3 linked regions of the Cricetulus griseus genome follow. Each later gene encodes a partner of the first gene's protein in a complex. Links are inferred from orthologs where the notes say so. Each region holds a gene or a part of one and is shown in the gene's direction. Other genes may lie near its edges.

Region 1 (3,655 bases):
AAAGGAAAAAAGTTTTTTTGTTGGGGGGGGTTGTTTGTTTTTCGAGACAGGGTTTCTCTGCATAGCCCTGGCTATCCTGGCACTCTGTAGACCAGGGTGGCCTCAAACTCAGAGATCCACCTGCATCTGCCTCCCAAGTGCTGGGATTAAAGGTGTGCACCACCAATGAGTGATGGTTTTTTTTTTTTTTTTTTTTTTGACAGGGATTCTCTGTGTAGCTTTGGAACTTTGGCATCCTGGAACTCGCTCTGTAAGACCAGTCTGGCCTTGAACTCAGAGAGATCTGCCTGCTTGTGCCTCCCAAGAGCTAGGACTAAAGGTGTGTGCCACTATCGCCCAGCATATAGATATATGAATATTCTTTATGTGCATTGGTATTGGTATTTTGCTATGGGTGGGTGGGTGGCAGTTCCCCTGGAACACTTGTTAATTGCCATGTGGGTGCTGGGAATTGAAACTGGGTCCTCTGGAAGAGCAGTAAGTACTCTTAACCCCTGAGCCATCTCTACAGCAGCATCTTGTTTGTATATTTATTTGTTTGTACTTATTTATTATTTATATATCTATTTATTCATTATTAGGAAGGGGCATTGAGACAGGATATTATCTCCAAGTCCTGGTTGTCCTGGAACTCTATGTAGACCAGGCTGCCTCTAACTCAGAGATCACCTGCCTCTGCCTCCTAGATGCTTGGATGAAGCCCAAGAATTCACCACCACACCCAGATGTTTATTTTTATGTGTATTATTGTTTTGCCTGAATATATGTTTATATACAGATGTGCTGGGTTCTGCCAGAGTTACATCACTTGGTGTAAGTGCTGGGAATTTAACACAGGTCATTTGAAAGAGCAAATGTGCTCTTAATCATTGAGCCATTTCTCCAGCCCACTACAGTCTTTTCTGAGACGGTGTCACTAACCCATTCTGGCTTCAAACTCTATATAGCCAAGGATGAGCTGGGTCTTAGGGTTCTGGCCTATAATGCCAGCATTTGGGAGGCTAAAGCAGGAAGATTGTTCTTGAGTTCAGTTGTCCCATAGTAAATTTCCAGGGCAACCTGGGGAACAGAGTGAGACCCTATCTAAAAACAAACAACAATTACAAAAACAAGAAATAAAAATAAAGAATGGGGCTGGAGAGATGGCTCAGGGGTTAAGAGCACTGACTGCTCTTCCAGAGGTCCTGATTTCAATTACCAGCAACCACATGGTGGCTCACAACCATCTATAATGAGATCTACTGCCCTCTTCCAACCTGCAAGCATACATGCTGGCAGAACATTGTATACATAATAAATAAAATCTTAGAAAAAAAAAAAAAAAAAAAAAAGAATCGGGCTGGAGAGATGGCTCAGCGGTTAAGAGCACTGACTGCTCTTCCAGAGGTCCTGAGTTCAATTCCCAGCAACCACATGATGTCTCACAACCACCTTGAATGAGATCTGGTGCCCTCTGCTGGCATGCAGGCAGAAGACTGTATATATAATAAATAAAAATAAAATCTTAAAAACAAAAAGTCATCATAATACATGGGTAGCATAGTGAGTTAATACCAAGATGGGCAAAACTTTTTGGGTTTTGTTGTTGTTTTTTTGTTTGTTTGTTTTAACTTTTGGGGGGGTTTTGTTTTGTTTTTCGAGGCAGGGTTTCTTTGTATTGTTGTGGAGCCTGTCCTGCCTGGAACTCAAAGAGATGCACTTGCCTCTGCCTCCTGAGTGCTGGCTTTAAAGGCATGCGCCACCAATTCCTGGTGGGCAAACTTTTTAATATACTGATTTTTGTTTCTGGGAGTGATGGAGCACACCTTATAAAGTTAGGTGTGGCACTCACCTTTCATCCCAGCACTTGGGAGGCAGAGGTAGGTGGACCTCTGTGAGTTCCAAGACAGCCTGGTCAATAGAGTGAGTTCAGCCACCGCCCATCTGCCTCTGCTTGTGTGATGAAGAGAGGTAGAGAACAGGAGAAGCAGAACATTTGTTTGTTTTGGAGACAGGGTTTATCTGTATAACAGCTGTCTATCCTGGAACTCACATTGTAGACCAGGCTGTCCTCGAACTCACAGAGATCCCCTTGTCTCTGTCTTCCAAGTGCTGGGACTAAAAGCGTGCCACACCTGACTTTATAATACTGTCTTGATGGGGTGATGAAGCCCAAGGCCTCACACATACTAGGCAAGCTTTCTACCACTGAGTTGCATCTTCTGCTGGATCCTGGTTGGTCACGTTGCACCTTGCCACACAACTGGAATACTTCTGTGGCAGGGGTGGTACTTGATGCTAGTTATTTGTTTACAGGTAGCTTTTGAAAATGGCTGCCTCTCATTACACCGGTCTTACAGCTGTTGCTGATGTAATTAAAGATCTAGACACTCAGATAGCAGTAAGTAAACTCCTTGAGGCCACTGTGGGCAGAACTTGGTGAATGTGCTTCTGGTCTTGACACCACAGCCAATGTTCACAGAGTCAGCCTATGGCTCTAATAGGAGTTGCAGCTGCTTTAGGTGAAGGTCTCAGCATGACTTCAAGATTGCTAAAACACAAAGGGGGAAAAGTTCCTTATGGTAAAGCAGAGCTTTTAACAATTGCTAAAAGTTGTGTTTCCTGGGCAGAGCCCGGCCTTGGATTTAAGCATGTTTTGAAATGCTTCAACATGTCTTGAAAATGAACTAATCATTTTCTTAAGCTTTGTGACTGAGTTTTAAGTATGTGACTGTGCTATTTATTTGAATTTAACATGATTTCATATTTAAATAATGCATGTAAGTACTTAACCCAGTATTCTGCTTGTATGAATTCCTTTAAAATGTCTTGCTTATTCTAGTTTATTTTTGAAAACAAGATTCCTCATTTCATTTACTTTTTCCTCATTTCAATTTTGTGAACTGTTTCAGTTCGATTTTGGAGACAAGATGGTCTCTAAAACCAGGTGTAAGCAATGCATATTCTCCATTCACTCTATTTTTTGTCACTATCAAGTAATCACCCTCCTGGATACACCAAAGACTCACGACTGACAGATCTTGACAGATCTCCTCCTGCAGGTGTCTCTAGAGTAACTCCAGTGTCTCTATTTTCCTTCTCCAGCTGATTGGCCTTGGTCCTCACAGCTCCAAAAAGAAGCAGGATCTTGATAAACTCTATGAGCTGAAGTCCAAAGCTCGGCAGATTATGAACCAGTTTGGCCCCTCAGCCCTAATCAACCTCTCCAATTTCTCATCTATAAAGCCAGAGCCAGCCAGCACCCCTCCACAAGGCTCCATGGCCAATAGCACCACTGTAGTAAAGATACCAGGCACTCCTGGGACAGGCGGTCGTCTTAGCCCTGAAAACAATCAGGTACCTCTTAGCTTTCCTTCTCTGTAGACCCTCTCTCTCATTTGGACCTATAATATGCACAGAGGTGGACATAACAGGAGCTCATTCTCTCTGTTGAAGTCTTTTCCAAGCTGAGCAGTGGTGGCCCATAAGTTTAATCCCAGCCCTTGGGAGACAGTCCAAGGCCAGCCTGGTCTACAGAGTGAGTTCCAGGACAGCCAGAACTACACAGAGAAACCCTGCTGGGAGGGGGATAAAATAAAGAAAAAGGTCTTTCCCCTTTGGTATATAATAGCATTTTTATTGAATTGTCTACAATTCAATATATATCAGTTTTTAC
Region 2 (3,655 bases), on another chromosome or scaffold:
CTTTTCATCATGACCTTGGTCTTACCGCACCAGGCCCTCAGAAATTGAGTAAGGAGGAGTGTGTGAAGGAAGTGCCCTGGGTGTGACTGGGAGCCTTACCTTTTTAGATCACTTTCCAATGAAGAATTTGTCCCATGAGTCCATCTGACTGCAGTGGAGCCTGGGAAATGTAGTGTAGCTCAGCTGCTGTGGAGGAAAAAACAGTGCTAGGTTATTTCCTTGTCACTGTTTCTCTTGTGTCCCCTTCTTTTGCTGTCCATATTCCCCTCCCCTCAATAAAAGAATTTCTATAATGATCAAAGCTTTGGAGGAAGCTTTTTTTGTTTTTGTTTTTTGAGACAGGAGCCTGTCCTGGAACTTACTCTGTAGACCAGACTGGCTTCGAACTCACAGAGATCTGCCTGCCTCTGCCTCCTCAGTGCTGGAATTGGAGGAAGCTTTTTAACATGAGTGGGATGAAAAGATGGCAGACTATTTCTATCTAGCCTATAAAGACTGTGTATGTCAGAGAGGAGCATTAAAACAGGGATTCTATTGCTTCCTCCTTCTAACCTATCTCTGGTCTTCAGGAAAATATTATTTCCCCTATGGAGGACTCTCCTATTCCTGACATGTCTGGGAAAGAATCAGGGGCTGATGGCGCAAGCACCTCTCCCCGAAATCAGAACAAACCCTTCAGGTGAGTGACATACCATCTGCACTCTGGGCGTGACTGTCAGCTTCTCTCTGTCTTCTTAGGGGGGCATGCTTTGTAAACAGAGGCTGGGGCCATTTGACCATGCACAGACATCTGGCTATACAGATGTTTGCACAGCACATGGAAGTGCTGGCCTCGATTCTGGACAGGCTTAGTACAGACTTGATCATACCTTTGCCTTTCCTGGAGATAACCCAAGTGTCCAGCTGAAGGGAATGGCTAGTTGAGTGCTAAAACTGCATAAGAAATAACTTGTAACTGCTAATCATTACAGAAATATACTTGACATGAAAGAATTAAAACAGAGTACCAAATGGGGGGAAAGGAGTAATCCTATTTGTACTTAAACTATATTTAAGAGTTACATATAGTTTTAAAAAATCTTGGAAATATATATCATAAAAGATTGCAACTCACACATAACAAGGCCTGAAACATATATGTGTGGCTATATGGGTTCACCTTGCCAGACTGGGATCCTCTGAGGGCCCTCCAGCTGGCGCTCAGAGCTCAGGTGCTGGCCTTGCCTACAGTGTGCCCCACACCAAGTCCTTGGAGAGCCGCATCAAGGAGGAGCTGATTGCACAGGGCCTCCTGGAGTCCGAGGACCGGCCTGCTGAGGACTCAGAGGATGAGGTCCTCGCTGAGCTGCGCAAACGGCAGGCTGAGCTGAAGGCACTCAGTGCACACAACCGCACCAAGAAGCATGACCTGCTGAGGTGAGTGAGCACTGTGCCAGGGACTAGCCCTATCCCCCAGTTGGATCTCTGATGGATGCTAAGTCCAGGGACAGGGCTCTAGCACCCACAACTGACATATGGATGGGTCTGTGAATATGAGTGCAGGTGTCTGTGGTGTCAGCTGCCCTGCAGTTGATGAAGTTACTGGTTTTTGCCAGACGCCCAATGTAGGTGCTGGGAACTAAACCCCAGTCCTCTGCAAGAGTAGTACACACTTAACCACTGAGCCATCTCTTCAGCCCTGACTCCATTGATAAGCATAATTTAGTAATATTTACAGTGTTAAGTTGCTTTTGTTTTTTTTTTTTAAATGTGTGTTTTCTTTCTTTTTTTCAAGACAGGGTTTCTCTGTGTAACCTTGGCTGTTCTGGAACTCACCCAGTAGACCAGGCTGGCCTCAAACTCACTGAGATCCACCTGCCTTTGCCGCCCAAGTGCTGGGATGTGCTACCTCCACCACTACCTGGCTGTGTTTTCTTTTTCTTTATGGTATTATTCAATCAAAATACCACAGAGGCACTGGGAAGATCTGCAGTGGGGAAAATGCTTGCCACCAAGCCTGACCTCTTGCGTTCAGTCTACAGCACCCACATGAAAGCTGGCCACAGCAGAACATATCTGTAACCCCAGTGCTTGGGTGGGCAGAGAGGCAAGCCTAGCAGAATAGGCCATTTCTCAGTGGGTAAAGGCACTTACCACCAAGCCTGGCCACTTGATTTCAATCCCTAAAACCTAAAACCCAGATGATAGAGAAAGAAAACCAACTCCTGCAAGTTGTCCTCTAGCCTCCACATGCACACCATGGCATATAACCCTCTAGTGAATACCTAAGCTACAGGAAAAATAAATAAGGCGAAGCATGATAAAGAAAGATCCAGTATCAACCTCTGGCCTCCACATGCATGCACATATACATGTGCAATATGAAGACGTATACATATAACATACATAAAAAACATCATAGAGAAAATAATGAATATCAGTATGCTCAGACATATGAGTTGCTAATGTTCTCTTAGCTGTCTATGGCTTTGATTGGCTGGTCACCCCACACTTACTAGTGTCTTAGAATCAGTCATAGTGTCATTCATTTTATATCAACTCCCATCTGACTTTCCTTGCACTGGTGACAAGGGTAGAGATTACATGTGAAGGGCATTGGTAGGAGCTGCCCTTTTGTTAGCACTCAAGCAAGACTTCTTGTTCCTCTTAGAGCCTTGACAAAGCAGGTTCTTGATTACCTGGCTAGCTCTTACTGTGTCTGACCTGGTGCTGGGCCAGGAAGAAGGCAGAAGGAGACTCCTGTTCTCTTAGGTGGTCGGAGGAGACACGCCATTCAGAGGGGAGGGGCAGCTGCTGCTGAGCTTTATGGGGATCTGAGGATAAAGAAACCATGGTGCCCACTGTCTGCTAGGGTCTTGTGTACCTTCTTTCTTCTAAGACAAGCAAGCTGGGAGGTGGTAGCACACACCTTTAATCCCAGTACTTGGGAGGCATAGGTAGGCGGATCTCTGAGGCCAACCTGGTCTACAAAGAGTTCCAGGATAGCCAGCAATGTTACACAGAGAATCCCTGTCTCAAAACAACAACAAAATAAAAAGTTCCCTTTCAAGGGCAAGGAGCAGCAAGGGTAGGACCAAACGAGATTAAAAACAATGCTGTGTAGTTCCAGAGGTATGGCTTGCTGTGGAAATGTTTTGGTGCTGAAGCTCAGCCCTGGGCCCTGCTGTGCTCCAGCTACTGGACTGTGGGCAAGGTACTTTGGGCCCAAGCAACAAGGATTAGATTTCCTAGAGACCTTCAGCTCCACCATCAGTGGGACTGAGTCAGATCCCCACAGGATTGAAGAAGCTCAGTGCAGCTGTGCACATCTGTAATTCTAATAAGCAGAGGGGAATGAGAGCCGGGATTGTGAGGAGGCTCAGTTTGGAAGAGGATGATAACTGGAGATTGGATAACCATGATACTTGGCCCCCATAGGTTGGCAAAGGAGGAGGTGAGCCGGCAGGAGCTGAGACAGCGGGTCCGCATGGCAGACAATGAGGTCATGGATGCCTTTCGCAAGATCATGGCTGCCCGGCAGAAGAAGCGCACCCCTACAAAGAAGGAAAAGGACCAGGCCTGGAAAACCCTGAAAGAACGAGAGAGCATCCTGAAGCTCCTGGACGGGTAGCATCACCTGCTGCTGGCCTCCTCCCTGGCCTGTCAGAAGCCCACT
Region 3 (3,340 bases), on another chromosome or scaffold:
ATATTGGTTGTCACACTGATTGTGATTAACCATAATCTTCTTGTATAAGTTATTTATTACAGGTGGTTTTTTTTCTCTTGAATGCTTGGCAAATGCAGATCACCAAGCTACATCTCCAACTCTGAGTTTAACATCTTGAATGACCACTTTTATGGATTTCTTCCTTTCCTTTTTTTGGATATATTAATAGGGATATGGTTACTGAGTGGCTATATTTAGTTGTTATGAGTGTTCACCCTTATTTTGGATTATTTCCTTACTACAGAATAAAAGTGAAAAAAATTACTCAGCAAGGGCAGAGGCTGAGCTTGGTGGAAGAACCAAGCCTAGTATGTGTAAAGGCCTGGGTTTAATGCAGCACTGAAGGAAAACATTAGCAGTAGTACTGGTAGATCATGCACTTAGCATGTGTGTGAGGCCCTGGGTTCAGTCCCCAGCACCATATTAAATGACAAAATCTGGCATAGTGGATCATACCTGCAATCCCAGAATTCCAGAGACAGATAGGAGTATCACTACAAGTTAAAAAAAATCCAACCTGGTCTATGGTCTGGATGGTAAGTTCTAGACCATCCAGAGCTACATAATGAAACCATCTAAAAAAGTAAAATAAAATGAAAGAATGAAACCAAAAAAAAAAAAAAAAACCCACAATAAACAAAAAAAAAACAAACACTAACAAACAGCCAGGTGTGAGAGGCTATAATCTCAGCATGTTAACATTCAAGAGACTGAGGCAGGAGGACCCCAGTTTCAAGATCAGCTTCATCTACATAGCAAGACCTTGTCTCAACAAACAAGAACAAAGCTGGGTAGTGTGGTACATGTGCTAGTTGCAGAGGCAGGAGGATGGCTACAATTGAGACCAGCTTGGGCTATATACAGGGACCCTGTCTCAAAAGATAAACAGTAAGGAATTGAACAAGTGGGCCTGAGTTCAGGGCAAGGCTGGTCTACATAGTGCATTCCAGGTTATATAGTGAGATGATGTCTCAGAAACAACAATAAATGTTACAGATGTGTCTTCAAGTATGGATTTTGGAATATAAGGTCTAAGCAGTCTTACTATTTAGCCTCCATAAACCTCCCTTCCTCCAAAGCTATTAAACTAATGTTATTATTTGCTAGCATCCAAGAACACCTTTAACAAGACCACCTCATCCCCTACAAAACAAAAACTCTACCTATATCGCAAAACAAAACAGGAGTATCTCCAAATTTGATAGATTTTGTTATTTTTAGTATTTATTATTTATTTTTGAGGCAGGATCTCACTATGTAATCCTGTTTGGCCTGGAACTTGCTCAATAAACCAGGAACTTGATATATACAAATGTTTATATAAACCAGGCTTGCCTTGAACTCACAGAAATCTGCCTGTTTCTGCCTCCTGCATGCTGGGGTTAAAGGTGTGTATCAGCTAACTTGTCCTGCTCACTTTGGTAGTTTTAATGTCTTAAGGACATAGGGCATGGACAGGATAACATGAGGGTAGCTTAAGAGTCGGGGGCACACATAGGAAAGCTCTCTTCTCGTTGCTGTGTCCACTTGCTCTGCTTTCCTGCTGGTTGGCCTAGTGCACTGTAAGTAAGGCATATTTACCTAATAAATATACCCGAACCCTATATGCTTATGTATTGGTGAATCTCCATTTATATATTTCCTTGTCATAGACTCACAAGGCAATGTCGATTGGAAGACAGGGACGAGTGCAAGTTGAAGATATTGTCTTCCTGATTCGAAAGGACCCAAGGAAGTTTGCTAGAGTTAAAGACTTACTTACTATGAATGAAGAATTGAAACGGGCTAGAAAAGCCTTTGATGAAGCCAACTATGGATCTTGACACTGTTTGTAATATCTGAAATTTTGATATTTTGTTTGGAAACCATACATTACAACTTGTCTACAGTAATATCATGATAGCTAGGTACGCAATGAAAGAGGTATTCGATTTTAGCTTTATAATTTGAGCCTTTCATTGCCTGTCTTTATCTGACTATATTTAATTCTTTGCTAGGCTTTAATGACTACTAATTTAAAGTATTGCCAACTGTGTAGTTCCATCTGAAAAAGGTAAAGTAGTATTTAGGTAGACTTGTGTATTCCAAGCTATATACTATAGCTGCATAATATGCAATCTAAATATTCTTTTGACTTTATGAAAGTTGAGGCTTGTGCTTTATGTATTTCAAGTTTTTATGACAATGGCAGGAGAAGTTATTACAGAGAATGAACTGGTTTGTGTTTCTTTTAAGGAACTAAGTTCTTGTAAGAATCTTTATCTGTCTTTGTAGATCATTTATTTTAATATTTTCTAAAGAATACTTTTTTTTTTTTAAAGAAACTACTATTTGTTAAGTGTTAGTGGACCTCATCTTCCTTGGTAACAGTAAAGTTTCTGAAAATAAATGCTTTCAGTAGTAGGGATGGCAAAGCTTATAACCCTGATGTCAGGACAGGTATTTTGGGTGGTGTAGTTACGTAAATAATAAGTACTTCCATTGTGACAATGTATAGTTGACTAAACCTGTGTGTGTGTGTGTGTGTGTGTGTGTGTGTGTGCAAACCATTTCTGTAGTCAAGGATATGCAGGCTTTGTGTATACTTAGCTTATTGCATTAAATTATTGTTCTATTTAGCTTATAATAAGGATTAAAATTGCATTTAAAGAGATTACTGAATGTTACTCTGTGAAACTTACTGGTGCTTCTTAATATCTCTAAATCAGTAGTTGGGGAAATATCACCTACTTAATCTGCTGATACAAGGAATAAAAAATGAAAAATTTAACACACTAATATGTGAGTTTGTGATTTATTTATTATTTACATTAAACATTTTTTAAGACAGTTTCTCTGTGTAGTCTGTCCTAAAACTTGCTTTGTATACCAGGCTAGCTTCAAACTCACAGAAATCTGTCTACCTCTGCTTCCTGAGTGTGGTAATTAAAGGAATGTACCATTACATGTGGCTGGGTTTGTGATTTATACCCTCCATGATACTGAATCCATCACTGTATGATAGTCCTAGTTGTTTTATCTTGTTATAGCAGAAATTCTTTTCTATCTTATTTTATAATGTACCTCAGTTGATGATGAGATACCTGGGCTGATCTTTTTTTTTTTTTTTTTTTTTTTTTTTTTTTTTTTTTTTTTTTTTTTGGTTTTTCGAGACAGGGTTTCTCTGTGGCTTTAGAACTAGCTCTTGTAGACCAGGCTGGCCTCGAACTCACAGAGATCCACCTGCCTCTGCCTCCCAAGTGCTGGGATTAAAGGCATGCGCCACCAACGCCCGGCTGGGCTGATCATTTTATTTAAAAAAGCCATTGAAGGGGTTGGA

The links.
Region 2: Taf12 (region 1) and Tada3 share a complex: the UniProt entries of both Homo sapiens proteins name them as parts of the STAGA transcription coactivator-HAT complex. The link is inferred for Cricetulus griseus from reciprocal best matches to the Homo sapiens genes TAF12 and TADA3.
Region 3: Taf12 (region 1) and Taf13 share a complex: the UniProt entries of both Homo sapiens proteins name them as parts of the TFIID basal transcription factor complex. The link is inferred for Cricetulus griseus from reciprocal best matches to the Homo sapiens genes TAF12 and TAF13.

Annotation. Positions count from the first base shown.
Region 1 is NC_048595.1:20,968,517-20,972,171, reverse strand, and holds part of Taf12 (transcription initiation factor TFIID subunit 12), read left to right. Parts: intron 1-254; exon of another isoform or gene 255-319; intron 320-3,084; coding exon 3,085-3,336; intron 3,337-3,655. UniProt on the Homo sapiens protein: The TFIID basal transcription factor complex plays a major role in the initiation of RNA polymerase II (Pol II)-dependent transcription.
Region 2 is NC_048601.1:31,429,476-31,433,130, forward strand, and holds part of Tada3 (transcriptional adapter 3), read left to right. Parts: intron 1-99; exon of another isoform or gene 100-186; intron 187-569; coding exon 570-679; intron 680-1,230; coding exon 1,231-1,416; intron 1,417-3,417; coding exon 3,418-3,610; 3' UTR 3,611-3,655. UniProt on the Homo sapiens protein: Functions as a component of the PCAF complex. The PCAF complex is capable of efficiently acetylating histones in a nucleosomal context. The PCAF complex could be considered as the human version of the yeast SAGA complex.
Region 3 is NW_023276806.1:48,539,879-48,543,218, reverse strand, and holds the end of Taf13 (transcription initiation factor TFIID subunit 13), read left to right. Parts: intron 1-1,673; coding exon 1,674-1,844; 3' UTR 1,845-2,799; downstream 2,800-3,340. UniProt on the Homo sapiens protein: The TFIID basal transcription factor complex plays a major role in the initiation of RNA polymerase II (Pol II)-dependent transcription.